Zea mays: one gene and its partners. Each later gene encodes a partner of the first gene's protein in a complex. Links are inferred from orthologs where the notes say so. Each region holds a gene or a part of one and is shown in the gene's direction. Other genes may lie near its edges. The genes, in order: Transcription initiation factor TFIID subunit 5, transcription initiation factor TFIID subunit 1, transcription initiation factor TFIID subunit 10 and Transcription initiation factor TFIID subunit 6.

The links.
Region 2: Transcription initiation factor TFIID subunit 5 (region 1) and transcription initiation factor TFIID subunit 1 share a complex: the UniProt entries of both Arabidopsis thaliana proteins name them as parts of the TFIID complex. The link is inferred for Zea mays from reciprocal best matches to the Arabidopsis thaliana genes TAF5 and HAF01.
Region 3: Transcription initiation factor TFIID subunit 5 (region 1) and transcription initiation factor TFIID subunit 10 share a complex: the UniProt entries of both Arabidopsis thaliana proteins name them as parts of the TFIID complex. The link is inferred for Zea mays from reciprocal best matches to the Arabidopsis thaliana genes TAF5 and TAFII15.
Region 4: Transcription initiation factor TFIID subunit 5 (region 1) and Transcription initiation factor TFIID subunit 6 share a complex: the UniProt entries of both Arabidopsis thaliana proteins name them as parts of the TFIID complex. The link is inferred for Zea mays from reciprocal best matches to the Arabidopsis thaliana genes TAF5 and TAFII59.

The regions. Positions count from the first base shown.
Region 1 is NC_050104.1:108,587,216-108,592,325, forward strand, and holds the end of Transcription initiation factor TFIID subunit 5, read left to right. Parts: intron 1-2,467; coding exon 2,468-2,563; intron 2,564-2,662; coding exon 2,663-2,738; intron 2,739-2,829; coding exon 2,830-2,886; 3' UTR 2,887-3,127; downstream 3,128-5,110. UniProt on the Arabidopsis thaliana protein: TAFs are components of the transcription factor IID (TFIID) complex that is essential for mediating regulation of RNA polymerase transcription.
Region 2 is NC_050104.1:98,683,476-98,689,767, forward strand, and holds the start of transcription initiation factor TFIID subunit 1, read left to right. Parts: upstream 1-2,160; 5' UTR 2,161-3,189; coding exon 3,190-3,241; intron 3,242-3,974; coding exon 3,975-4,087; intron 4,088-4,698; coding exon 4,699-4,761; intron 4,762-4,843; coding exon 4,844-4,886; intron 4,887-5,041; coding exon 5,042-5,293; intron 5,294-6,292. Other genes in the region: calcium-transporting ATPase 5, plasma membrane-type, read right to left, coding at 385-546, 624-669, 776-855. UniProt on the Arabidopsis thaliana protein: TAFs are components of the transcription factor IID (TFIID) complex that is essential for mediating regulation of RNA polymerase transcription. Core scaffold of the TFIID complex.
Region 3 is NC_050102.1:124,192,634-124,198,892, reverse strand, and holds the start of transcription initiation factor TFIID subunit 10, read left to right. Parts: upstream 1-2,185; 5' UTR 2,186-2,288; exon of another isoform or gene 2,289-2,409; 5' UTR 2,410-2,427; coding exon 2,428-2,571; intron 2,572-2,654; coding exon 2,655-2,719; intron 2,720-2,856; coding exon 2,857-2,919; exon of another isoform or gene 2,920-4,836; intron 4,837-5,004; coding exon 5,005-5,062; intron 5,063-5,167; coding exon 5,168-5,218; intron 5,219-6,206; coding exon of another isoform or gene 6,207-6,212; exon of another isoform or gene 6,213-6,259. UniProt on the Arabidopsis thaliana protein: TAFs are components of the transcription factor IID (TFIID) complex that is essential for mediating regulation of RNA polymerase transcription.
Region 4 is NC_050104.1:148,194,505-148,200,649, forward strand, and holds the start of Transcription initiation factor TFIID subunit 6, read left to right. Parts: upstream 1-2,505; 5' UTR 2,506-2,730; coding exon 2,731-2,856; intron 2,857-4,411; coding exon 4,412-4,498; intron 4,499-5,086; coding exon 5,087-5,188; intron 5,189-5,279; coding exon 5,280-5,388; intron 5,389-5,508; coding exon 5,509-5,615; intron 5,616-5,700; coding exon 5,701-5,838; intron 5,839-5,916; coding exon 5,917-6,012; intron 6,013-6,129; coding exon 6,130-6,145. UniProt on the Arabidopsis thaliana protein: TAFs are components of the transcription factor IID (TFIID) complex that is essential for mediating regulation of RNA polymerase transcription. Required for proper pollen function. May stabilize the interaction of TFIID with selected promoters.

The DNA.
Region 1 (5,110 bases):
TGCATCTTTTGAAAGAACCATTGCAAGATTAAGGGCCAGAATCAGGTTCTTAAAAGATGGGGATGGGAACACCTCTTTCTTTCATAAGCAAGCTGCTTTCCGTAAAAGAATAAATACAATCACAATACTTAAAGATGGTGACCAGGTTGTCACTTCTCAGGAGGAAAAACAAGAAGTTTTTTTTTGAGTTTTATAACATCTGCTGGCGGCAAGTCGTAGTGTGTGCGTTGGCGGGGAGGGGCTGCTGCGCCGCCAGAGGGGCCACGACAGCGCGGTGAAGGGTTGTGGCCGCCGTTGCCACAAGTCGTAGTGTGTGCGGGCGCGGGGCGGGCCGAACTGGCCAGATGGGAAGGGGAAGGGGGTCGGCCGGGCGTGGCTTTCCCACTGTGGCGTCGACGGCTGCTGAACAAGGGAGAAGGGCCGATGGCCTGGGAGCAGGAGGCGTCAGCGGCTGGGGCAGAGCTGGTCTGGGGCGCCGACGAGGAGAGGGAGGGGCAGGGCCGGCTAGGGGAGAGGGTTGGCTGGCGGCTGGGAAGGGAGCCGCCCCCGGAGGGGAGGAACCTCCCGGGGCGGCGGCGCAGAAGCCAGAGGCAGGCTGGACCTGGGCAGCTGGCTGGCGGCTGTGGGGGTGGGTGGTGGCTAGGTGAAAGTGAAACCCTAATCCTCTGATACCATGTAGGAATATGAAGTACTCGATATATTGATAGGAGATAGGGTACAATATATAGACTCACAACCCTAACCCTAATGGGCCGGCAGCCCAACAGTGGTGCCCCCCCCCCCCCCCCCCCACTCACCACCCACACACACAGTTTAACAGAAACACAACTCTCCCGTGCTTTCCAAAAAAAGATAATTTCTTGTCTTACAAGTTACAACAGCAATATACCATGAATTTTGAGAAGCAGTACAAAATTTCATCTTCTGCAACATACTGACACATGATATTACTGTTACACTAAGAGCTAGTTTGGGAGCCACCAAACCGGAGGGGATTGGAGGGGCTAAAATCCCCTTGGAGGAGATTTTAGCCTCTCTAATCCCCTCCTGTTTTTGGACTCCCAAACTAGCCCTAACAGGCAAGTCCTTCAAACACTAGCAGCAATGCACCTTCTTCTGGGGGAGAACCTGTGATAATAACAATGCAGTCATTGATTTACTGCAAGGTAGCAACCCATACCAGTGGAATATATAGCATGTAAAGGTTGAACACTAGTGCAGGTTGCCCCTTTTTCTTTTTGTGCCGGTTTCCACTTTTGTTTAAGTTGTAGGCCTCGTTTGGGAAATACGGTAACAGGCTACCCTGGTCATTTAGCACCGCTGGGACAAACCTGCAAAAAAAAAAAAATCCCCGTCTGATGCTGCCCGGTGGGGTTTGGGCACCCTGTGGCTATTTGGAAACTGCCGAACAGACTGTCCACTTCAATTCTCTAAACAAACAGGTAACACAAGCAGAACAAGTTAACACATATGCCAAACGTTTGGTTTATGCACCAAAGGCAAACAAACTGTCCAATTTAATGTATAAATAGAAGAACACTACAAGCAGATTGTCCAAATGTTTCAGTAGAACCAGTTTTCTAAAAACAGAGAATGCTGACAAGAAGCAGATACAAGAGACTGGGGTTCAGACACAGGAGAATGCAGTTCATGAGACATGGCTAGCGGCTTCTTCTAGATGGCTTCCTTCCCTGTAGATATGCACAGAAAATTGGCATCAAATTAATGAAAAATGAAGATCAATCAATAAAATAAGATAACATGCCACAACTCTGACTCTGCGAAATTAACTCACCCTACAAGGTGAAGGCGACAGCTGGATCTAGAGGAGGATGAAGTGAGACACGGAGACAGGGAGCGGACGAGACGAGGCGAGACGGGGTGCTGCGTCGGCGGTGGGTGAAGCGGCTGCTGGATCTGAAGGGGGACGAGCTGAGACCCTGCGTCGGCGGTGGGTGAAGGCGGCGGCGGGATCCGGAGGAGGACGAGGCGAGACAGGGAGGCGGAGAGCGGACGAGACGAGGCAAGACGGTGGTTGCGTGCCCGACCTTCTGACGCGTGTTTTTCCTGCCCGTGAAAACCATTCCGAACCGGGGTCACGCTTCCCTTCCAATGGACTTCCAATTTCCAAACGTCGACGCAGCCACAGGAGTGTTGTGTTACACGGGGCATGGAGAAGCTGGGTTTTGGCTGGGAAACCCGCGGGTTTCGAGAGTCCCAAACGAGTTCGTAATGTAAGACGTCAAATATACTCCCTCCACAAAAGAGTGCAATTCTAGCTTTGAATCTGGACAACTGCACTCTTTTTGCGACGGGGGAGTATATTATTTCTTCCTGTGACTGTTCACGATGTGCGTTGTTCTGCGACACAAGTTTGAACTGCATATACTTGTAATTTGAGGGATTTACTTAATTATATGATTTCGTGAAATATGCTATAGGCTAATATATCCTCCTGTTGTTTTAGCTGTGAAGGAGCATTGCTTGCATCGGGATCGGCTGACTGTACTGTAAAGCTCTGGGATGTCGCTTCTAGCACAAAAACCCTGAAGACAGAGGATACGTAAGTTTGACATGATAAGATTCTCATCCATTCGAGTATACACTTGATTCTCTTGCTCTTGACTGCAAAACACACTTGTCTTTTTTTTTTCTGAAACAGCAAAGGCAGCTCAGCTAACCGACTGAGACTGCTTAAAGCTCTCCCTACAAAATCAACTCCTGTTTATAGCCTGCGGGTGAGAAATTTCTCCTTTATTTTCAGCATCATTTTTTTGGGGGTACTATGTGGTGAGAACTGACGAATTTGCGGATTTTTGACTTCTGCAGTTTTCTCGGAGGAACCTTCTATTTGCCTCTGGTGCTCTCTCGCTAAGCTCGTCGTAAGCTGTGTTTTTTTTTTGCAGAAAACTAGAACTGGTCCTGTTTTGACATTGAGTAGTGAAGCTGGCATTTCAGAGACTGCCTATTGTACAGCTAATATTTTCATTAGCAATTCCAACGAACTCAGCATGTACTGCCGAATTGAGCACCGCAGATTCGTTGTAGCGGGTTGTGATATTGTAACAATATTATTAGGTAATTACGTTCTGTAAAATTGTTTTTTAGGTTGTGACCTTATGAACGCAACTAAATGTACAAGTGCTGACAGGCGATAGCGTGAATGCAATGGTCTATCAGGTCTGGAGTTTGGTTTAGTGACCAGGTAATTCGAGGGGATCATGGGGAGGAATATTCCGTGACCATTTATTTAGAAAAAGTCTAAATTGTTTCCGTGGACAATGTTCTTATAACTTCCTAAAATATTTTTAGTTTATTTTACCTCTCAAGTTGGTTTAATTTATCCCATAATAAAATTTGACTTTTCATTTCTTTATTTCTTTATGTATAAACTGTGTTTTCAGTTTAAATTTTATTGGTTAATGGCTAATAGCATAATTTAGTCTAGAAAATGTATTATCATTTTTATAATTATTTTGATAGTTTAGTCATTAGATAAGATAAACTAAATATAAAATAATGTTAAAAAAATCTTAACATATTGTTCTAACATAAATTATAATATTCTCAATCAACTCAAAAAATATAAACCTTAAATTTAGCTTATAAATGGAGGAACGTAAAAAAATCATGTCAAGGGAAATTTTGTTTTTTTTCTGTTCTCTACGTACCAGTTAAATAAAAGTTCATATTTTGAGGTGATTGATGATATCGTAACTTATGTTAAAATTAATTTTTTATTATTATTATTATTTTAAATTTAGTTTTAGACAATGAAAGTTATTATCCTAAAGCTTTCAAAAGAATTATAAAAAATTATAATATATTTTTAAGCAAAATTATGCTATTAGCTACTATACAAAAAATAAGCTGAAAACTTGATTTATACCGTAGAGAACAGGTGATCCTACACCATATAACCATCTAGGTAGGGGAACGAGACTGATCGACTGTCAGTGGCTAAGTTAGAGTAAATTTGATAGGGTGTGAATGTGTGTTTGCCTCATGAGTGCATAGACATCAGATTAGGACATATACAATAGGGATGGATCCGGATATTTATTCGGATGTCAATTTCTTGGTCTTCTTTCTACAATTATGAACAAATAATATATAGAATTTGCTATGTAAATTTATATTCTTGTTTTTAGCATTGATGCTATTAATATTCAAAAAAATAAATATTAAATTTGTTCTATATCTTTTTAAATAATTGATATAAAATTCGAATGTCTATCCGAATACGGATTCAGATGTTTTTTCACCTTTTTGTTGGTTGTATGGAGAAAATAACGTGCATAAAAAAGTATACAAAAATTTATTTAAACACTTCATAATATTCTTAATAATATTGTCAAAAATAACTTTAAATTTTATGTATATCTATGTTAAAATATTATATTTGTCATATAAGGGCTTGTTCGGTTAGCTCTCAATCCATGTGGATTGAGTGGGATTGGATGGGTTTGAAATCCAAACAAGTCAAACCTCTTCTCATTTTTTTCCAATCCCATCCAATCCATGTGTTTTGGGAATAACCGAACAAGCCCTAAGTCGGATGTTTTAGGAACATCCCTAACCCTAAGCCCTTGACCGATTTTCCAAATACAAGAGATAGCTTAGAGACTGCATGATACAGCTCTGAGTCTCTAGATAATAAATGCAGTTAAGACGTAATGGCACTGATTGGTTCGGTGCATAGGCTGAACATGGCTCACGCGAGCTTGAGCCACTAGATACGCTCGTCCCGAGCTTCCCCACCCATGCAGCTAAAGGGACTTTTTTAGCTTGCTCTGCACCCTCGGATGCAGCCCATGCACTCCGCATACAGGCTATCAAACACAGATAATCCGGCTAAGCGCGCACGGACAACCAAACACGTCGAATATCTATATAGAGTCATGTAGAGACAACTCGGCTAAGCACGCACGGACAACCAAACACGCCAAATATGTATAGAGAGTCATGTAGAGAGATGCTCTTGGTGAAAAGCCTGTCTCTTAATTTGTTTTCACTTAGCCTCCTAGAAATCACTCAAGAGACTCCTCATTTAATTGTGTTGTATATGCCCTTATGGGGGTGTATATATGGTGAAAATTTGCTCATTATA
Region 2 (6,292 bases), about 9.9 Mb from region 1:
CAAGGGCCTAGATTCTAGGAGGTTAAAGCTGGCCACATTAAATTACTGGAACAAACCAAAATGCAAAGAAAAATAGTGAGTCACTGAAAATTGACCAAAAACAGACCAAGTGAAGCGCATATAACCAGCTTCCACATAACTTATGCCATACCTGAAATTCGACTATGGTAAAGCAATGAATAGCTTATAACGAGTCCTTACGTGAAGAAAAATATCCATGTAGTATCAATGCTAGGGTACACATTAGTCCCTTTTGGGGGAAAACTACTATCAATTTATAGTCAACTTAATATTGATTCTTTTCTTTTGGGAACAATCCAATGTCAGTATGTATTTGTCTAAAAGGTGAAGCAAGATTCGTCCACTAATGTTCTGTTATGATTCTTAAATTATTGAAGAACAAATACTCCACTGGCAAAATACAAATGTGTTGAAGATGAAAGTATTTGTTACCTTCTCAGCATCAGATCGGCTTTCATTCTGCAGACGCAGAATCCTTACTCCATCAAAATCGAAAATCAGAAGAATTGCTACTTGGTAAAGGGCCTGTGTAAAATTCCAAACATATCAGAACAACAAAGAGTTTTTAACAGAATCCAATTGTATAATGAAGGAATACTAACCTGAACAAACAAGTTTCTCCACATGATATTTGTAACAAGAGGTTCCCTGCAGTAGAAAAGTATGGGTAAAAATGTTTCCAAATTCAAAAAGCATAGTATATAGGTATTGGACACAATGTTGTCAACAAGAAATTTTGGATCATTTGACATGCCTTCGACCAACAGGATTTCTCTTCATAAGGTTGTCTGTTGGAGGCTCGGTTGCTAATGCAAGAGCTCCAAGTGTGTCCATTATGAGGTTCACCCACAGAAGCTGAAAAGTGAAAGAAGTATATGATACTGATGAGAAACAGCCTGGAAATACATGTGTCTCAGGTAAAATGTTGTGTCCAGCTATTAAATGCACTCGGCTACTCCACTGTACTACTGGAGTAGTACGCTGGTAGGACAGGAGCAGGAGCGGGACCTCACACCGCACCTGGAGCTGGAGGCTGGAGGAGGAAGAAGGGGCACGCTCACTCATCACAAGTCACAGCCACACCACACATGAGCTGTGGCATTAATGGATCATCATCAGAGGAGGAGGGGAAGTAAGCGGTCCGGGTCCCAGCCCTCCTCTGAAACGAACCAAACAACCTAGACCAGGTAGGAGGAAGATGGAGATTCATGGAAAAGGGAGAAAAGGTAGCAAAGGATCGGCTCATCTCCTCTCCTCTCCTCTGACCCTGTCCAACTGTCCCGGTCCCTGTTCATGCTAGCTCTGGCTGCGTCTGCTAGTATAGGAGAGCAAAATACAATCCAATCCAATTCTATGCAGTAAGCGCTACCTACAAGCTCACCTTCACGTACATGGGCCCAGCTCCGGACGCGGCCTCCTCCGTCGGCGCCTTGCTCCTGGAGGCGCTCGCAGCGGCGAGGGGACCTCTCCAACCACCTGCGCTCTGCACGGATCGAGAGCGCACTGCATCGGTCACCCGCCCCGGCGGGGTCCAGCGGCCTGCGAAGATATCGAGGTCCGGCGGGAATAGGGACTCGACGGCGAGGTCGGGAGGAGGAGCGCGACGCGGGGGCCTGCTGCTGCGCCGCCATCTTTGCCTCCGGCGTCACCGTTGTCGTCATGGAGCCCGCGGGCTCGGTCACCTCGAGGTCGTAAGCCGCAAGGCCAGAGGCGAACCTCCGTGTGGCGGTGGCCGGTGTAGATGGCGCGATGGCTACACAAGTGCGGATGATCGAGGGAGGAGGGCGCCCCCTATCCTTATCTAGGTAGAGGTTGCGGAGGGCGGCTGCCGCGGCGGCGGGGATCACGGCGGGCGGTAGGGGATTGCGGAGGGCGGTTGGGGATTGCGGCGGGCGGGCGTGGGGGAGGCGGGGGGCCCCTATCCTTATCTAGGCAGAGGTTGCGGAGGGCGGCTGCCGCGGCGGCGGGGATCACGGCGGGCGGTAGGGGATTGCGGAGGGCGGTTGGGGATTGCGGAGGGCGGGCGTGGGGGAGGCGGGGGCAGTCTACATTAGGCTCTTAATAGTTGTAGAGATTTCTTTTATACGTTTATGGGCTACCGCGCCTTATTTTACTGGGATAGTCGACCCGATTGCTCGTGCTCGTTCTCCGTTATGGGCCGCAAATTCTTTTCGGCCCGGCCTGGCCCGCCTCTCGGCGCCCGGCACGCGCCGGCGCCGCAGTCGGCGCCCCAGCCCCTCCCTGCCCTCCGCTTTGCTCTCCATCTAGCCCCCACGACCCTCCTCTCCGCTCGTCCGCCACCGCCACCGCCACCGCCACCGCCGCGCCGCTTCTCGTCGTCGCCAGAAACGAAGCAGGGCTCCGCGCTACCCCGCTGATCTTGCGCTTGAAGATCAATCAGTCCGTTGACGCAGTTCTCTACGTGCAGGGGCGGAGGGCCCATTATCCATCTGGCCCAAGCGCCTCGCCCTTTCTCCACGACTTCAACCCAGGCAGCCTCCGCCCCGTCACCCGCCGCCGCGGTCACAGACCTCTGCCGTCGACCCACGGACCGCGGTCCGGCTCCAGCCTCCACCCGCCCGCCGTCCTCCTCCGTCGCGACCCGCGGACCGCGGTCCGGCTCCAGCCTCCACCCGCCCGCCCACCGCCCACCGGCTTCCGGCCTCCGCCCGCCGTGGGCGGCCTCTGCCCTCAGCCCACCTGGCCATCTCCGCATCCGGCCCCCGGCCTCCGGTCTCCAGTCGCCCCCGGCTTCTGGTCTCTGCCCCCGCAGTGGTCGTGCCCCACTGGGCTGAGGAGGAACAGCTTCCGGTTCCTGGTGCTGATCTTGAACGGCGCGGCGCTCAGGTCGGAGGAGGCGTTGCCGGCGAGACTGAGGTCGCAGAAGGAGCCATACCAAAAAAAATCGTCCTCCGCTACTGCCTACGTGACAAAAAATCCTGCGGAGACCTGGCAGAAGTCGCCCGGTCTCCCCCGCCTCTGGCTTGGCCTCGCCATTTACGCTACACCTTGAGATTTTTATTCACTCCATCCAATCTGGCCCTGCGTTTCTAGATTTTGCGAGGGAAGACGCCAATTAGGAGCCTGAGGGTGCGACGGCCTAGGGTTTGTAGCTACTGGTGTCGTCGCGGCCTGTGGAGGCGGTAGGGGACAGCGACATCTGCAGCCATGGACGACAGCGAGCTCCATGAAGAGGAGAACCCAACCAATAGTGCCGTAGGTGAGCTTGACGATGCCCAGGACTTCATCACAACCAGTTATGCTTTTGGTTTGGTGTTGGTGCAAGTGCCGATGTCGGGCCGATTAGGGTTGTCAAATAGCTGGGCTCTGATGTGTTGGGTGTGCTATGTTAGCTAGTGTATTTGCTGGGCTTTGTGCACGGATCTGTGGTGCCTGTTTACAAATGGGATTTGATAAGCCGATGGCATGCTGTTTGGTGCTATATAGGATTAAATGTTCTTTTTTTATGTGTGGAAAATTTTAGTTGCTGGAGCTACAGGTAGCACCCATGTAAGATGAGGTGGTTAGCATGCTGATCTGCTATGGGCTTGTAATTGTGAAGTTGCAACCTTTAGAGTCAGGCTTTGAGAACCATAAAACTGCAAAATGGTTTTGAGTATGAAGATGATCCTCTGCAGGGTTAATGGTTCCATGATGGTCTTCTGTATTTTATGTGACGTGTTGAAATTAATTTGATGAAATGTTGGTTGAAACTAGCATTGCGATTCTCCGATGCTGCATTTTAATAATACTGAAAACATGTAACCCTCTGTTTGGGAATGCATTATGTCATCATTAACCCTCAGATTCTTAGTTATCTTAACAATTTCCTGAGGTCACTCCAAAACTGGACTCATTTGAAGCTAAGTGCAATTGATTGATTGAAACTAGCAATGAGTTTGTTTGAATAACCCCATCTTACTTATTAGTTATTACTGTTGTCATCCTTACAGATGACGATGACGACGAGGATTATGAGGAGCCTGGTGGAGGAAATCACTTATTGGGGTTTATGTTCGGCAATGTAGATGATTCTGGTGATTTAGATGCTGACTATCTTGATGAGGTAGACACTTCTTTATCTGTTTTTGTTGACATGCAAATGTCCTGTTTTTTGTTGTTTTTATTATTTTATTTCATGTGTCTGTCTCTAGGAGATGACATTCATTTTATTCGTTTCACCTTTTCAATTGTGTGGATGTCTGATATCTGTATCTGTTTTTGATCTTAGTGCATTCTCAATTGGTCATGATTTTATACAGATTTAACTTCTTTGTTGGTTCTCTTTTTCTTAACATTTTGATCCTTAGACTTGTGTTTTAGGGTGCTCGGTTGCTTTATAGGAACCATCATCACTATAAGAACCATATTCCTCTGATTAAATTAATTTAATTTGAGTTCTGGAAATGATGAGATAGGGAAATTCAATGCGACGAAACCAAATTTCTCAGTCCATGCATTGTAATTTTCTCGTAATTTGGATGTTTTTTGAATAATAGTTAGTAGAACTCACTAAATTTTAGCCAGAATAAAGGTTAGTTGCTAAACCTTAGGGTACTTTGGTTTTATTGTTTTTCCATTGTCTGCAGGAAACAAAGTCATTGTTTATTGTTTAGTTATGTTTATAATGCAATTTGGATGTTGCATTTATTTATACTTTTATTTTGCTTAACTCAGGATGCAAAGGAACACCTTTTTGCACTGGCAGATAAGCTTGGTCCATCTCTCAAAGACATTGACGTAAGTTATCTTATGCGTATAGTTAATCTTACTTATCTATTTCATTACCAAACAAGTTAATACTATGTTGTTTGCTAATTAGCTAATGAAGTCTTCTCCAGCACCAACTGATCCTTCCGAACAAGGTTAGTGACATATTACTGTTTCCATATAAGCTGCACCTACAGTTTTGAGAGTTATTCATCAAGCCAACTTTGCCATTGCTTAGGAAGACCTTATTCTTCTTTTTCGTGTCAAACTATGCACATAATTGATAACACATCTTTTTGTTGTTATGTAGACTATGATGAGAAGGCAGAAGATGCTGTTGATTATGAAGATATTGATGAAGAATATGATGGACCTGAAGTTGAGGCAACTACAGAGGAAGACAATGTGTTGTCAAAAAAGGATTACTTCTCTTCATCTACAGTGTATGCATCAGTCAACAGTACAGTTTCAGTGTTTGACGATGAAAACTACGATGAGGAAGAAGAACCACCCAATGATAATGAGCCTCCTGGTGATAGTGCTGCCCAAAATTTATCTTCAGGTGATACTGGATAATGTGCCTAATGTTTTCAAGTTCCATTTATGTTAGCATTCATCCTATTTTTCTTACTACTTTATCGTTTCCATGCTGCCCCTTTTATTTGTTCCTTCTATCTAGTGATTAAACATTTGTAGCTTGGCACCTCCGTTTTGGTCTGCAACTGTATTTGTCTTTATATTTGCATGTCCAACCTCCCTTCTGCTGGCTTGGGCAAGCGTTGATGGTAGCGATGAAGTCTGTTCCAGTCTAACTCTAATAAAATGAACTGAAGACTTGACCATCTTTTTTTCACCTTTTTCTATTGTGATCATAGACTCTAGTTTGGCGTAAACTTCTGTTATGATCGCTAGATCAGTGAGGGATTGGAGAGGGTATCGATGGGTAGGAACGTCGGCCGGGGGCCTCTGCCCACGGCCTAGCAAGAGGAGGGTTTCTCCCTTCTAATTCTTGCTTAATTTATTTCTCATCCATTGATTACATAAATAGGCCAGCTGGCCGCCCCTATCTAGCTAGAGATCCTTATCTCCTTAAAACTCTCCTAAAAACTCTCAACAAACTACTAACTGATAACCTTCCTAGATAATCTCAACTAATCTTCTAATCTTATCTCTAACTATCCTTATCTAATCCCCCTTGGAGGGCCCATGGTTGCTGCTGCTGCAGCCCCTCCGTGGGCCTCCTTAGGCCCTGAAACTACACCCCTCCTGGATAAGCAACTCGTCCTCGAGCTGTAGCATGACGGGTGCTCAAAGATCGAGTCTACTTGACCCAAAACTAGACACCTAGAAGACAAACCTTTTACATCTCGACTTATCTTATTATTCCGAATCTGAATTTTTTTGACCCCATAAGATAAGGCGGACACCCTCCGCGCATTGGACTTGCACGTGTGTAGCCTCCTGGATCACATGGACGCCATCTGGACGAAAGGGAAGCACATGGACGGGCTCCTGGAGTAGGTCGCAACAATAACCAGCGGAGGCGCCCTCGTGGCGGCCG
Region 3 (6,259 bases), on another chromosome or scaffold:
GAGTCGAACCGTTTTGACTCTAGGCGTGTGTTTGGCTAGCGGGTTGATGTGGGTTGGAACGAGTTCAACCTACAACAATCAGCGTTTGGTTCAAAAGGCTCATGGGTTAGGTTGGTTCTGGGTCGAAATACTTCTTGAAAATGCAGGTTCTAGGGATCCTCAAAAACAAGCGAACAACTTCGACTCACTTCCTCTCCACCCTCCTGTCACCCATGCATTATCCACTCGAGACCAGCACAGGGGTGCGCCACCACTATCATCCTTCTGGGATGAGGGACCCCTGCTGGCCTACCCTCCGACGTTAATTCCCCGCGTGCCTCCCGTAATCAGTCCCTCACTAGTAGAGATGGCAATGGGTAAAAACCCAATGGGTATTACTTGCCCAAACCCATACCCGCGAAGAAAAAATACGCCCGCTAAAAAACCCATACCCATGACGGGTATAAAATTTTGCCCAAACCCATACCCATGCGGGTTTCGGGTACCCAACGAGTTTTCCATACCCACTAACATCAACATAAAAAATAATTCATCTTGTAAATGACAATTAATACATTAATAAGCTAGCATAAGAGGAACAAGTGATAACTAATTTTAGCCTAAAATTTGTTACATGAAGTTTATTTCAATTAGAACATATTCAATTAATAATATTATGAGTCATATTTATAAAGAATGTTGATTTTATGGCGGGTTTTAGAAACCCATGGGTTTGCGGGTATGGGTAGTGGAAGAACAAACCCATGCCCACGTACCCGTTGGGTTTCCATTTGAACCCATTAATAAACCCATGGGTAGAGAAATTGACCCAAACCCATACCTTAATAGAGCAAAAACCCACCGGGTTTCGGGTAACGGGTACCCATTGCCATCTCTACTCACTAGCCTGCCCTCTAGCGTGCTGGCCTCCGTCAGCGTCGTCAGACTCCCCCGCTGGCCTGCTGTGTCTCCCACCATCAGTCCCCCGCCGGCCTGTCCTCCGGTGCCAGCGTGTTCTCCAGCAAGCATAGCCCGCGAGCCTTACTAGTGCTGTCGTCGAACAAGTAAATTGGTTGCTAAGCCTGATAATGAGCTGCCAAGTCATCTATTTGACATGCTGAATCAAATGCCTAGTTTCAATTCTACACATATATCTTTCTACTATGCTCATCTGGTGGCCAATCCTCACATCGGCAAAGCTTTCTACAACCGACTATTTGAGCACAAATTACATTAGATCACAATGTTCATCGCTGAGAAATTCTCTGAAATGTAACTGAGTTGATGGTGAGAAGTAACTTTTGTTAGTTTGTAATAGTTAGTGATGGTGAGAAGTAGCTTTTGTTAGACTGAAATGCAACAATGAGTTGAACTTGATCACTGAAATGCAACTATTAGTTGAACTTGATTACTGAAATGCATCTTGATGTTGTTGTGATGTTCCTTTTATTATGACTGAAATGTAACAATGAGACCTCATCACTCAAAATTTATGACTTGGTTAATAAGGGCTTTAATTTATGTATATCTTGTGCTTATGGATCTCTCAAATACTAAAATAGTGCCAGTTTCATTTATTTTGAATGTTATCATCTCATTTAGAATTGAAGATATAATCCCGAGTGTGGTAATATGACCAGGAAGGTGATCATATTCAGTTCATCCCTCATCACGAAACCAAACAAGAGATGATGCAGCTCCAATCCACTTTAACCTTGTAATCAAATAAGAAACTAGGTTTGACCTGTCAATGAAACCAAAGAAGGAACGAGTCCGATCCAATCCAGAAAAATGGATCAGCTTCGACCCGACCCACATCGTTTCGAAACCAAACACATGCTAGGATTCTTCTTCAACCTTTCCTCCGAAACCAAACACATGCTAGATTCTTCTTCAACCTTTCCTCTACCCTGCCTCACGAGTGAGAAAATTGGATTTCATGCTTTAAATAATTTGTTTCTCACTTTTTCTGTTTGTAATATTGACTTTATAAAAATAAGACTCATTTACATTTGGGTTTAATAATATTTTGGATATTTTTGTTCTTCTATACCATTCTGTGTATTGCATCTGTACGTATTCATGCGAGGATAAAAACGTCTAAAATAACATTAAAAACAAGTGTGATACGTTTTGATTTTACGAAATCAATGTTATGAATGGCAAAAAAAAAAAAAGATGAAGCGAAACATATGCTTTGGAGTCCAAAAATCTAATTTTTTCTGGGAAAAGTGCGAGCACATTGTTTGTTTGGAGAAATCCAATTTTCTACTCACGGACGCCGCCCCTGTGCCTCGCCATCGCCTCAGGTACGCAAGGCGGCCGAACACGAGCGCCCGCCTTCGTTCTTGCCTGCGCTGCCCCTCTCCTCGCCGTTTATTCGGGCTCCTACCTCTTGTTACAACTTGCGCGGTGGGGGCAGTGAGGCAGCAAGACGTGAGGTCCAGGATGATGAACAACAACAGTGGCGGCGGTGCCGGAGGCCCTGGAGGGGGCATGGGTACGGGAGTGGGTGGAGGGGGGGACGGGCGGCACGACGACGAGGCTGCGCTCACCGAGTTCCTCTCATCCCTCATGGACTACACCCCCACGGTATGGTGCCGCCGCTTCCCTCTCGCCTTCTCTACTTTTCTGTCAGCGGCTTAACCCTGATGCTTGGTTCGGTGGCGCGTAAGATTCCCGACGAGCTGGTGGAGCACTACCTCGGCCGCAGCGGGTTCCACTGCCCCGACCTGCGCCTGTGAGTGCTCGTCTTCTTTCCAATCTCTCTTCCTGATGGATAATAGTAAGCTGAGATCTGATCAGTGCCATGGATTAAAGTTAATAACACAAATTGCTTGATTTCTTGCACACATAATCTGAATTCGTGTTTTACAGAACGAGACTGGTTGCTGTAGCCACCCAGAAGTTCCTATCAGACATTGCTAGCGATTCTCTTCAGTGAGTAAATTCATAGTCTCGTTATTGCAAAGTAAAGGATTCTCTTCTTAATTTCAATGATGATAGCATATTCATGAATGAAACAGTATCATTCTTTTATTCCATGGGAATGCAAATCTTCTGTGCAATACTGCAATTCCATGTTTTTGTCTGGTTGAACAAGTTTGTTAGGCTTCAATCAAAATCCCTCCCTAATTGCATGTACTTGTGAAATTATTCATCGAGACATGGTTATGTTTATTAGGCTTCAATCAAAATCCCTCCCCAATGAAATTATTCATTGAGACATGGTTTTTAAGGTGCCGCTTACGTGATATGGCTCGCTGGAAATCTAGGCATCCCTATCGCCATGATCAAATATAAATATAGAGACAGAGGGGGGGGAGGGCATCTAGGTCAAGAACCCGAGCTGCTGCCATCCCTGCTGGATCCAACACCAGTGGCTGGCACAGAACTTGCTCCGGTCAGCTGTGACACAGTCAATCTGGAAGGTGACGGCAGTGGTGGTCAATTTGAGAGCACAGATAAGTGAGGAAAGCGGAAAAAGTGGGAGGAAGGAGAAGTTTCAGGCAGTGGTAGGCGCATCTGGATAGAAAGGGAGAGGAGGGAGTATGCTGGATATGTGGGGGTGACCATGTATATGCGCACTGGAGCCATTGATACAGGAAGGGAAGGAGAGGCTAAAGAAAGGAAGAGCATGAAGAGAACCAGGCAAGGCTGCACCTGCACCTGCACCTGCCCTCGCCCATCTCTGTTGGCTCCGGCGCCTGTGGTCTTGCAGATCTTCACTGGTCAACTGTATAGCTCGATCTGAAGGGGGCAGCACCAGTGCACAATCTGCATGAGTAGAGCTCTATTTCAAAAGGGGTGGCGTTGGCCCTCAATCTGGGAGGTGTGCTCTTGGGGCAGCCAGGCTTGTCGTTGCTCAAAGACGGCATTGGAAAGGACTGATGTAAACAGGCAAACAGCATCAAGTGAGGAATTGGTGGATTAGGGATTGAGGGGAGAGTGTAGGGTGTTGCTTTATGGGCTGTTGGGTTAATTGGGTTCTAATGAGTTAGTGGGGTGGCTGCTAATAGTTAATGTGGCCCATCGATGCTTGTATTTACCTCTTATTCTACATTATATATCTTACTACATATTTTATGTTCCATATCATTTACTTTTTCAAAAAATGAAACATATCCCTATATTGAGTAACTGTGTAACATGCAATTATCTTCAAAGTTTTTTAAAAAACATACAAGATACACTTACAAAGTGTATGCCTGATTTTGCGGAGATTCTGTAATTATATTACTTGTATAGGAGTGTATGAAAAACAGCTATCCATGTGCCTAAACCTGTATGGTTTCAACTCTAGCCTATCCCAACTTACTTGAGACTAAAAGGCTTTGTTGTTGTTATTTGTAATTATATTACCAATGGCTCATTCTTTATGTGGTCTGACTAATCAAGTGATGAATAACTAAAGCATACTAAAATTAGGAAACAGGTCAATTAGGGTTTTTTTGGTATCATCATCATCATGAGTTACGAATTAAAAGCATACCTAATTAACTGAAGGATACCTAATCAATCATCATGATAGGCTCATGTATCACATCATGTGCCTTAGCAAGGTGCGATTTGAGGTTGTAGTGGCAGCAGGCTAGCGCCTGCTGGAGAGGCTCCTAGTTTGACACGACCTGAAATGCACATTCTGCAGTCAGCAATCTGGCAATCACATTTAGCCTAGACAGCTATGGCAACTGAGCTGCAGGAATTGCTAAATGACTAGAACAGGTGCCAAGCTGATTATTTACCAGGGTCCAGGGGAGGGGGTCTTAATAACCCTGAAAGGCATTGTGATTTACAAAGCCCGTGGAAAAACAGATCCATTGTGCGGGGAGGATGGGATCTTTCGGATTATATTGCGTAAGTTTGCCAGGGTCTTATTTTGTTGGTTTTTTTTGTCAGTGTATGATGTGCTCTACTGTTCACTATATAACAAACTATTTTAACATTTTCTTAGCGATATGTATTATACACACTGTATTTGTGTGTACTAACTTTGCTGTTACATTATTCTTTCCCTTGAACTAGGCACTGCAAGGCCAGGGTAGCAGCACCTATCAAAGACAATAAGAGCAAACAGCCGAAGGTGTATTTACTCACTAGTTGAACTTTTCGTGTTCCTAGCGTTAAATCTTGTTTAGTATCCTTACTGATTACTTATCACATTTTTCCTAAAAAATGTTACTTTCAGGATAGACGTCTTGTATTAACCATGGATGATCTTTCTAAAGCTTTGCGCGAGGTAACTACGTTTCCATTTAGTTCTGCAGTTTGCAAATTTTTATTTTTGTTGGCAGCAGCTTACCATTTACTATCTTCTGTATTCCAACCAGTTGGGTAGATCTGTTTTCTTAAAATCAGTCAGGAGCACATTGTTTGGTTTAGACACTGTTTTTTCAGGACTTGAAATTGAATCTCCCCACTGTTTTCTTAAACTTACACAGTTATGTAGATCCAGTTTGATATGCTCTTGCTCCTCACAAATTTCCAAAAATTCATAAGGAAAACCACCTGTTAGCGGCAGTTAAGAACAGAGCACACGAATAAAAACTTGACAATGGAGGATAGATATTTAAGCAAATAGCATGTGCTGCACAGTAGATTTTAAGGCGATGACTAATATGCAATCAGTCATTATATGCAAGCGAGCTTTCTGGCCCGTTAGGTCATGATCCAACCGTATATATAACTGTGGTTTGTTTTACACACACACGAGCTGGTCTTGGAAGGATTTAAGTGTTAAATGTGACATACGGTTGAATCATGATCTAACAGACCAAGATGCTTACTTGCACATTAGGTCTGATTGCATATTAGTGATCGCCAGATCATAATGATGATTGAGTTCCTTTAGACTAGATATATGATCCATTCCAGCAACCCAATGGCAGTGCGCCAGTGCCCATATGACCTGTATCTTTTTGCAAGAGTGAGGCACACACCATCCGATATTGTGCATGGACCTAAATATACAAGGTCATATGGAGATCAGACTAGTGTGGTTTTCTTTGCCTGTACTGGTTAAACCTTATAACTGTCAACCTTACTGTCGTTGTAGTAAGAAAGAAAAGTGGGATCTGGATGTTGCTAAAATCTGAAGGCACAATTCATCTCCCATTTAAATCGAATGTGTAATAGTGGATATCACAGTCATTAAATGAATTTGAGCAGCTAATCAGATTTCAGATTGTCAATCGAACATTGCATATTCTGAGCTTCCTCCTTTATAGGTTTAATGGTTTACCCATCGACAAGAAGACCATTATATGCATGGAAATAAGCA
Region 4 (6,145 bases), about 40 Mb from region 1:
CATTAATGGAGATGCAGGGTAGTAAAGGCCAGACAGTGCAACAGTTGAGTCATAGAACAATTCAAGAAAAGACAACAACTTATCAGCAATGTACCAATGATTATCAGTTAACAAAGGAGAACCATCTGAACTGAGTGGATGGTTGCTTTGGATAAAGATAGAAAATGTGCTTTTATATGGAACAATATGCTTAAGCATCAAGTAAGTAGAATTCCATCTAACATCCATGTAAACACCAAATTTACGAGGGCGAAAACCCTGACTCAAACAAACCATTTTGTATGCAGCAATACGTTGATTAGAAGCATTCAAGAAAGTAATAGCAGTTCTAAAATCATTAAGATAAGGTTTCAAGCGCTTCAAACTAGATTTAACAATAAGATTAATAATGTGGCAAGCACATCTTTGATGCAAAAATATAGAGTTCAAACCATCACCATCATCTAAGTCAAGTATATCATTGCAGGCAAAGTCAAGGTAACCAGTAAACATAGGTTGAAGAAGAGACATAGTAGTTTTGTTTGAAGAAGCATTGTCCAAGGTAATTGCAAACATTTTATTTACTATTCCATAATCATCTACTACCATAGAAATATGTTCAGCAATATTAGAACCAGTATGTGCAGACTCAATAGGCCTAAGACCCAGTAGTCGTTTTTCCAAACCCCAATTAGAATTCACATAATGGGCAACAACGCTAATATAATCTTCTTTGGCTTTACCAGACCAAATATCAGAAGTTAGTGCCACAGATGAAACTGAAGACTTCAAAGTTTCAATTAGTCCCTCCATTCGACCATTGTAATGTTTAATTAAATCTCTAGCAATTGTTTGCCTAGACGACTTAACAAATCTGGGGTTATGCGCATGGGTAATATACTCATGGAAAGCATCAGACTCAGCAAAACATAAAGGCAGATCCTCTCTAGCTATCAATCGACACATTTCAGTTCGTGCAACCAATGTAGAATACTCCCAACGTTGGACAGACCCATCAGGATTAAATTTAAGGACTGACTGAACTATGCCTGCTCGGTCATGTTCAATTTTAGCTTTACAATGTTCTTGGTGCCTAAGTAAGTGTCCAGTACCAGATGAAGATTTAGCAGACAAGGTACATTTGCAGTGTTTGCAAATAGCAGAGATCCTTACCTTCTTACCTTTGTCGTCGATCCCAGTTACTTCCTCGAAGTCAGCCCAAACCCTAGATGTCGCTAGCCTCTTCCTCGGCCAGTTGTCATGGGCAGTGCTACCACCAGTGGCAGTGGGGCTCGAGGAGGCAGTCACAGGCACCGCATCAACATCTACGGGATCAACATTGCTGCCAGTGGCAGTGCCAATCCCAAACAAGGCCAACTCATCCAAACGCTCGTTGTGATCCTCAAGCTCACGCTCCGTCGCCTCGGCGTCCGGATCAAGATCCATGGAGATGGAGGGATACTTGATCGTCTCCTCAACGACGTCACCGGTTCCTCAACGACCTTCAAATCGTAGAAATAAAATACAAAATATCAAAATCAAGAGCACAATGGTAGTAGATCTAGGAAAATAGAACTTCACCTGAGTGGCCGGAGCACCGGAGTCGTCGACGAGGGGCAACCAGAGGGGCAGAGCTGATGTTGTTTGAGGTCAAGGAGGATTGGATGAGTGTAGGCAGAGCAGATCAGAACAAAGAAGCGAGACGGAGAGCCGGAGAGGCACGCACAGTCGCACAGATTCGGGGAGGCACAAACCCTAAGCGAAGAAGCGAGACGGAGAGGGCGAGAGGAAACAAGAGATCTAAGAACAAATCGCAAGAGCACCGAAAAGTCACCGACGACCAACACTCACCAGTTTAGGTTTAGGGTTAGGAGAAGCCGAGAAGTAGTCGAACTTACAGACAGGGGCTATGTCGGCTCACCGGAGCAAGAGGAACACGACGGTCGACGGCCGACGAGCACAAAGCACGGATCCACGGAGCCACCGGAGCGTCCACAAAGGAGATCCAGAGAGGGCGAGTCCGCGAGTGTGACGGAGAAGGCGAGGGCCGACCGAGAGAGGAGACGGAAATGTGGAAGACTGGAATGTGCGGCAGTGGGTAACGGGGAGTCGGAGACGGGGATAGATATTTTGATGTGAGGCCGGGTCTAGAATGGGCCGAATGCTTAAACGGGCCGTGCTCGGGCTCAGCACGACGTGCCCCGACTCAGGCCCAAGCACGGCCTGGGTGTCGTGCCAGGCCGGCCCGAGCCCGTCGTATACCGTGCCGTGTACGGGTCGGGCCTAACCCGCGCCGTGCTTGGGGCTGCCCGTTAGGCCCGACCGGTTTGGACATGTATACCTTTGCCTTGTCGCGCTTGCAGCTTGCTCGTCTCCGGCGCCCGCGCGAGCTCTTCTTCCTTTCCGACGCCAGCGCGGTATCCTCGTCGTCGCCAGTGCGCGAGCGTCTCCTCCTCCTCCTTGCGGCCTCCCGCGCCTCCGCCCCCCCCCCCCCCCCCCCCCCCCCCCCCCCCCCACCCACACACACACATCCGGGAGAAGAGTAGTGGATGCGGAGCGTCTCCTGTAAGCGGTCTCCCAAACGCCACGCTTGTACTCACTTTGTTTCTAATAAAAAATTGCTGTGGTGGAGGCCATAGATTCCAAGTGGTGGTTTAGAGAAGTCCCAAACATACCCTTTGTTTGGGGAGAAGAATCGAGAGGGAGATAGCTAAACTAGGGTTAAGGGAATTAGGGGCCGAGAGGAGCGCAATGAGCATCGTGCCCAAGGAGACGATCGAGGTCATCGCTCAGAGCGTCGGCATCCCCAGCCTCGGTGCCGATGTCGCCGTCGCGCTCGCCCCTGACGTCGAATACCGCCTCCGCGAGATCATGCAGGTCAGGCCTCGCCCCCCTTGCCTAGGTTACTTTTTGATTCCGGCGCTATTTTTCATGAATTGGGAGGGTTGATTTCCGTGCCGTCGCCCTAGGGTTGTCCTTGGAATTGTAGCAGTGGCGGTGAATTTGGTTGGCTAAGCATCTCCAGCGACCTATAAAAATGTCAATTAATTTAAAATTGAGTATATTTTATAGAATTTAGGGCTTCAATAAAACTTTCTGTTCCAATAGTAAAACCTTCAATCTAGATTACAAGGCAACTCATTACGGTGTAGTATACCCGAGGCACTTGAGAGGGTGTCTTATAATTTATTGACTAAATTTTATAAAATGAGACACTGTTAGAGTAGTTTTTCCTGTGTAGAGCCCCACATTTCAATTTGAGACACCAATTTAAGGCATTGTTGGAGATGCTTTGAGCATCTCCAACAACGTGACCTATAAAAATACCCTAAATTTTAAAGTAAGTATATTTTATAGAATTTAGAGTACCAACAAAACATTCCGCTCCAACAGTAAAGCCTCAAATCTAGATTATAGGGCAGTCCACTACGGTGTAGTATATTTGAGGCACTCGAGAGGGTGCACTATAATTTTTTTGACCAAATTTTATAAAATGAGGCACTGCCGGAGTAGTTTTTCCTGCGTAGAGCCTCATATTTCAATTTGAGGCACCAGTTTGAGGCATTGTTGGAGATGCTCAAGCGATAATTTTTTTTGTACATCTGAGCTAAGTGCAGGCTGTGTGCTTCGGCCAAATTAATGACTCTATGCGATCAGCATTATTTAATTTTCCGGGATACTAAGAGTCTGGGCTGGAATTGCCCCCTGTTTTCCGTAGCTTCTCAGCGAGATTGCTTGCATTCTCACCATCTTCCCAACCAAGTACATGCCATTTGTTTGGATTCATCTCCCGACAAGGGCGAAGCTAGCTAAGAACGTTACCGGTCTCATCGCCATTAGAGTATAGGATCATGTAACTATAAAGCAGTATATTATAATGTTTCTCTATTGGTTTTACAAAATCCATCGGTGTCAGATGACACCAACAAATGCCCCTAGCTCCGCCACTGTCTCCCGAGCAACTGTATGAAATCAGTATCTTTAGTTCTAGGGTGTGCTTGTTTATGATGTGGAATGGAATTTTGAGGGCTGCATGGTGGGATGAACTTGCCAAGTGAGATGTTGTTTGTTTTTCCACTGGCACAACTGGTGAAGTCATTTTTTTATTTTCTTTCTACTGGTAATTCGAGTTATGCTGCTTAATTTGTTGAGTCTATACAATTCTTTCCCTTTAGGGATGTAGAACTTAGTTGGATCTCAAAATTTTGTCGAAGTACTAGTGGGGTTTGATAACAGAAGAGTGTCCTATGGCCTGATATTTCATTATCTAGTGTTTTCATAATTCACTTCTTTGTGGATACTGTCTGTTCCCTTTTTGCCACTTGCGCTAATTTATGCTAAGCTTATAATCATGCAAGTCTTCATGAAACCTTGCAGTTTTACTACCTCAATTGCCATTCTGATGATCCCATTTTATGTGTTTTTGCCTCAGGAATCCATTAAATGTATGCGGCATGCAAAGCGGACTGTTCTGACGGCGGATGATGTTGACAGTGCCCTGGGCCTCAGGAATGTTGAGGTGAATTACCTTTCTATGCTATTTTTTTGGATACTTGCAACATATGTTTGTAGGTCTACTATGCACTTGTGAATTGTTAGCTAATAAATTTAAGATCCTTTTTTCGTTGTATTGTTTTTCCGAATCATGTTTAGAACTTCAAAAGCGTGTAACTACATTACTACAATCCACTTTTAGATTTCGACAAGTGTCTTCATGGTATGTAAATGGTATTCAACTTACACCTTCCACTTGCATATTTGGTTCAGTAAACAATCGAACAAGTAGTTTTTGAATGATGCTTCCATATATTTGTAATCTTGAAATTTCATTTCAGAAATCTTTAGGAAAAATGGTTTTGCTTTACTGGTACATATTTGTTTTTACTACAGTTGTAATATTGGTTCCTCAGTTCATAGATGTAGTTTTCTTACTAGAATTTTCTCAGCATGTAGAGCTGTTTGATTAGCTTCTGTTTTTGTGAAACTGCCTTCCTTATGCAATTTTTGTCATACTTTTATATTGAAGTGTCTAACTCCTCTGCTACACTTTATTTTGTTTGAACTGACCCTGCTGTTTCATTACCATGGTCCATGGGTTCTCAATCAGCCCGTATATGGATTTGCCTCTGGTGATCCATTACGTTTTAAGAGAGCTGTTGGACATAAGGATCTCTTCTATCTTGATGATCGGGAGGTAGACTTCAAAGAGGTAGTGGCATTATTAATGATTATTAAATTTTCGTACCACTTATTTCAAAACCATTCATTTGAAATGTTTCTTCCTGGTTCGTGTCATGCAGATTATTGACTGTCCTCTGCCTAAAGCCCCACTGGACACATCAGTTGTAGCCCATTGGCTAGCGATTGAGGGGGTACAGCCTGCAATACCGGAGAATCCTGCTATTGACGGTCTGCCCTTTTTGTCCAGAGATTTATAGTCATTACTTTTCTCCTTAGCAAGATGTAGTCACATTCTTCTCCAATATTGAGAGAAAAATACTTGTTGTGCCAATTATCATTTTATTTCAGCAATTGTACCACCAACTGAAAATAAAAGGTCTGAGCATGGGAAAGATGATGGACTTCCAGCTGATGTCAAGCTTCCTGTTAAGCATGTATTATCTAGAGAACTACAGGTACTTTGATTATGATACCGTGCATTGTATATTACGCATATATTTTCAAGAAACTTATATGTCTATTCACTGTTTGGTTTTGCAGATGTACTTTGATAAAATAGCTGAACTTACTATGAGTAGATCTGATACGTCCCTTTTTAAAGAAGCTTTAGTGAGCTTGGCAAAAGATTCTGGTCTTCATCCTTTAGTTCCTTACTTTTCCTACTTCATTGCAGACGAGGTTGTACAGTAGCTTTCTTGCTTTTGGTGGGTTTCTTTTTATATGACATTACTTAGTGTGTATCCATTTGAATTTCAGGTTACCCGGAGTTTGGGTGATCTTCCTGTTTTACTTGCTCTAATGAGAGTAGTCCAAAGTCTTCTCCGTAATCCACATATTCATATTGAACCTTATGTAAGTAGTAAACCATAAGGTTTTGATAGTTCATGTGCGCGACTTATTTTTTTGCCATTTTATATATTCTTTTCGCCGTATTAGTACTAAATTAGCAGCATTTGTCTTGATCTGTAGTTGCACCAGCTGATGC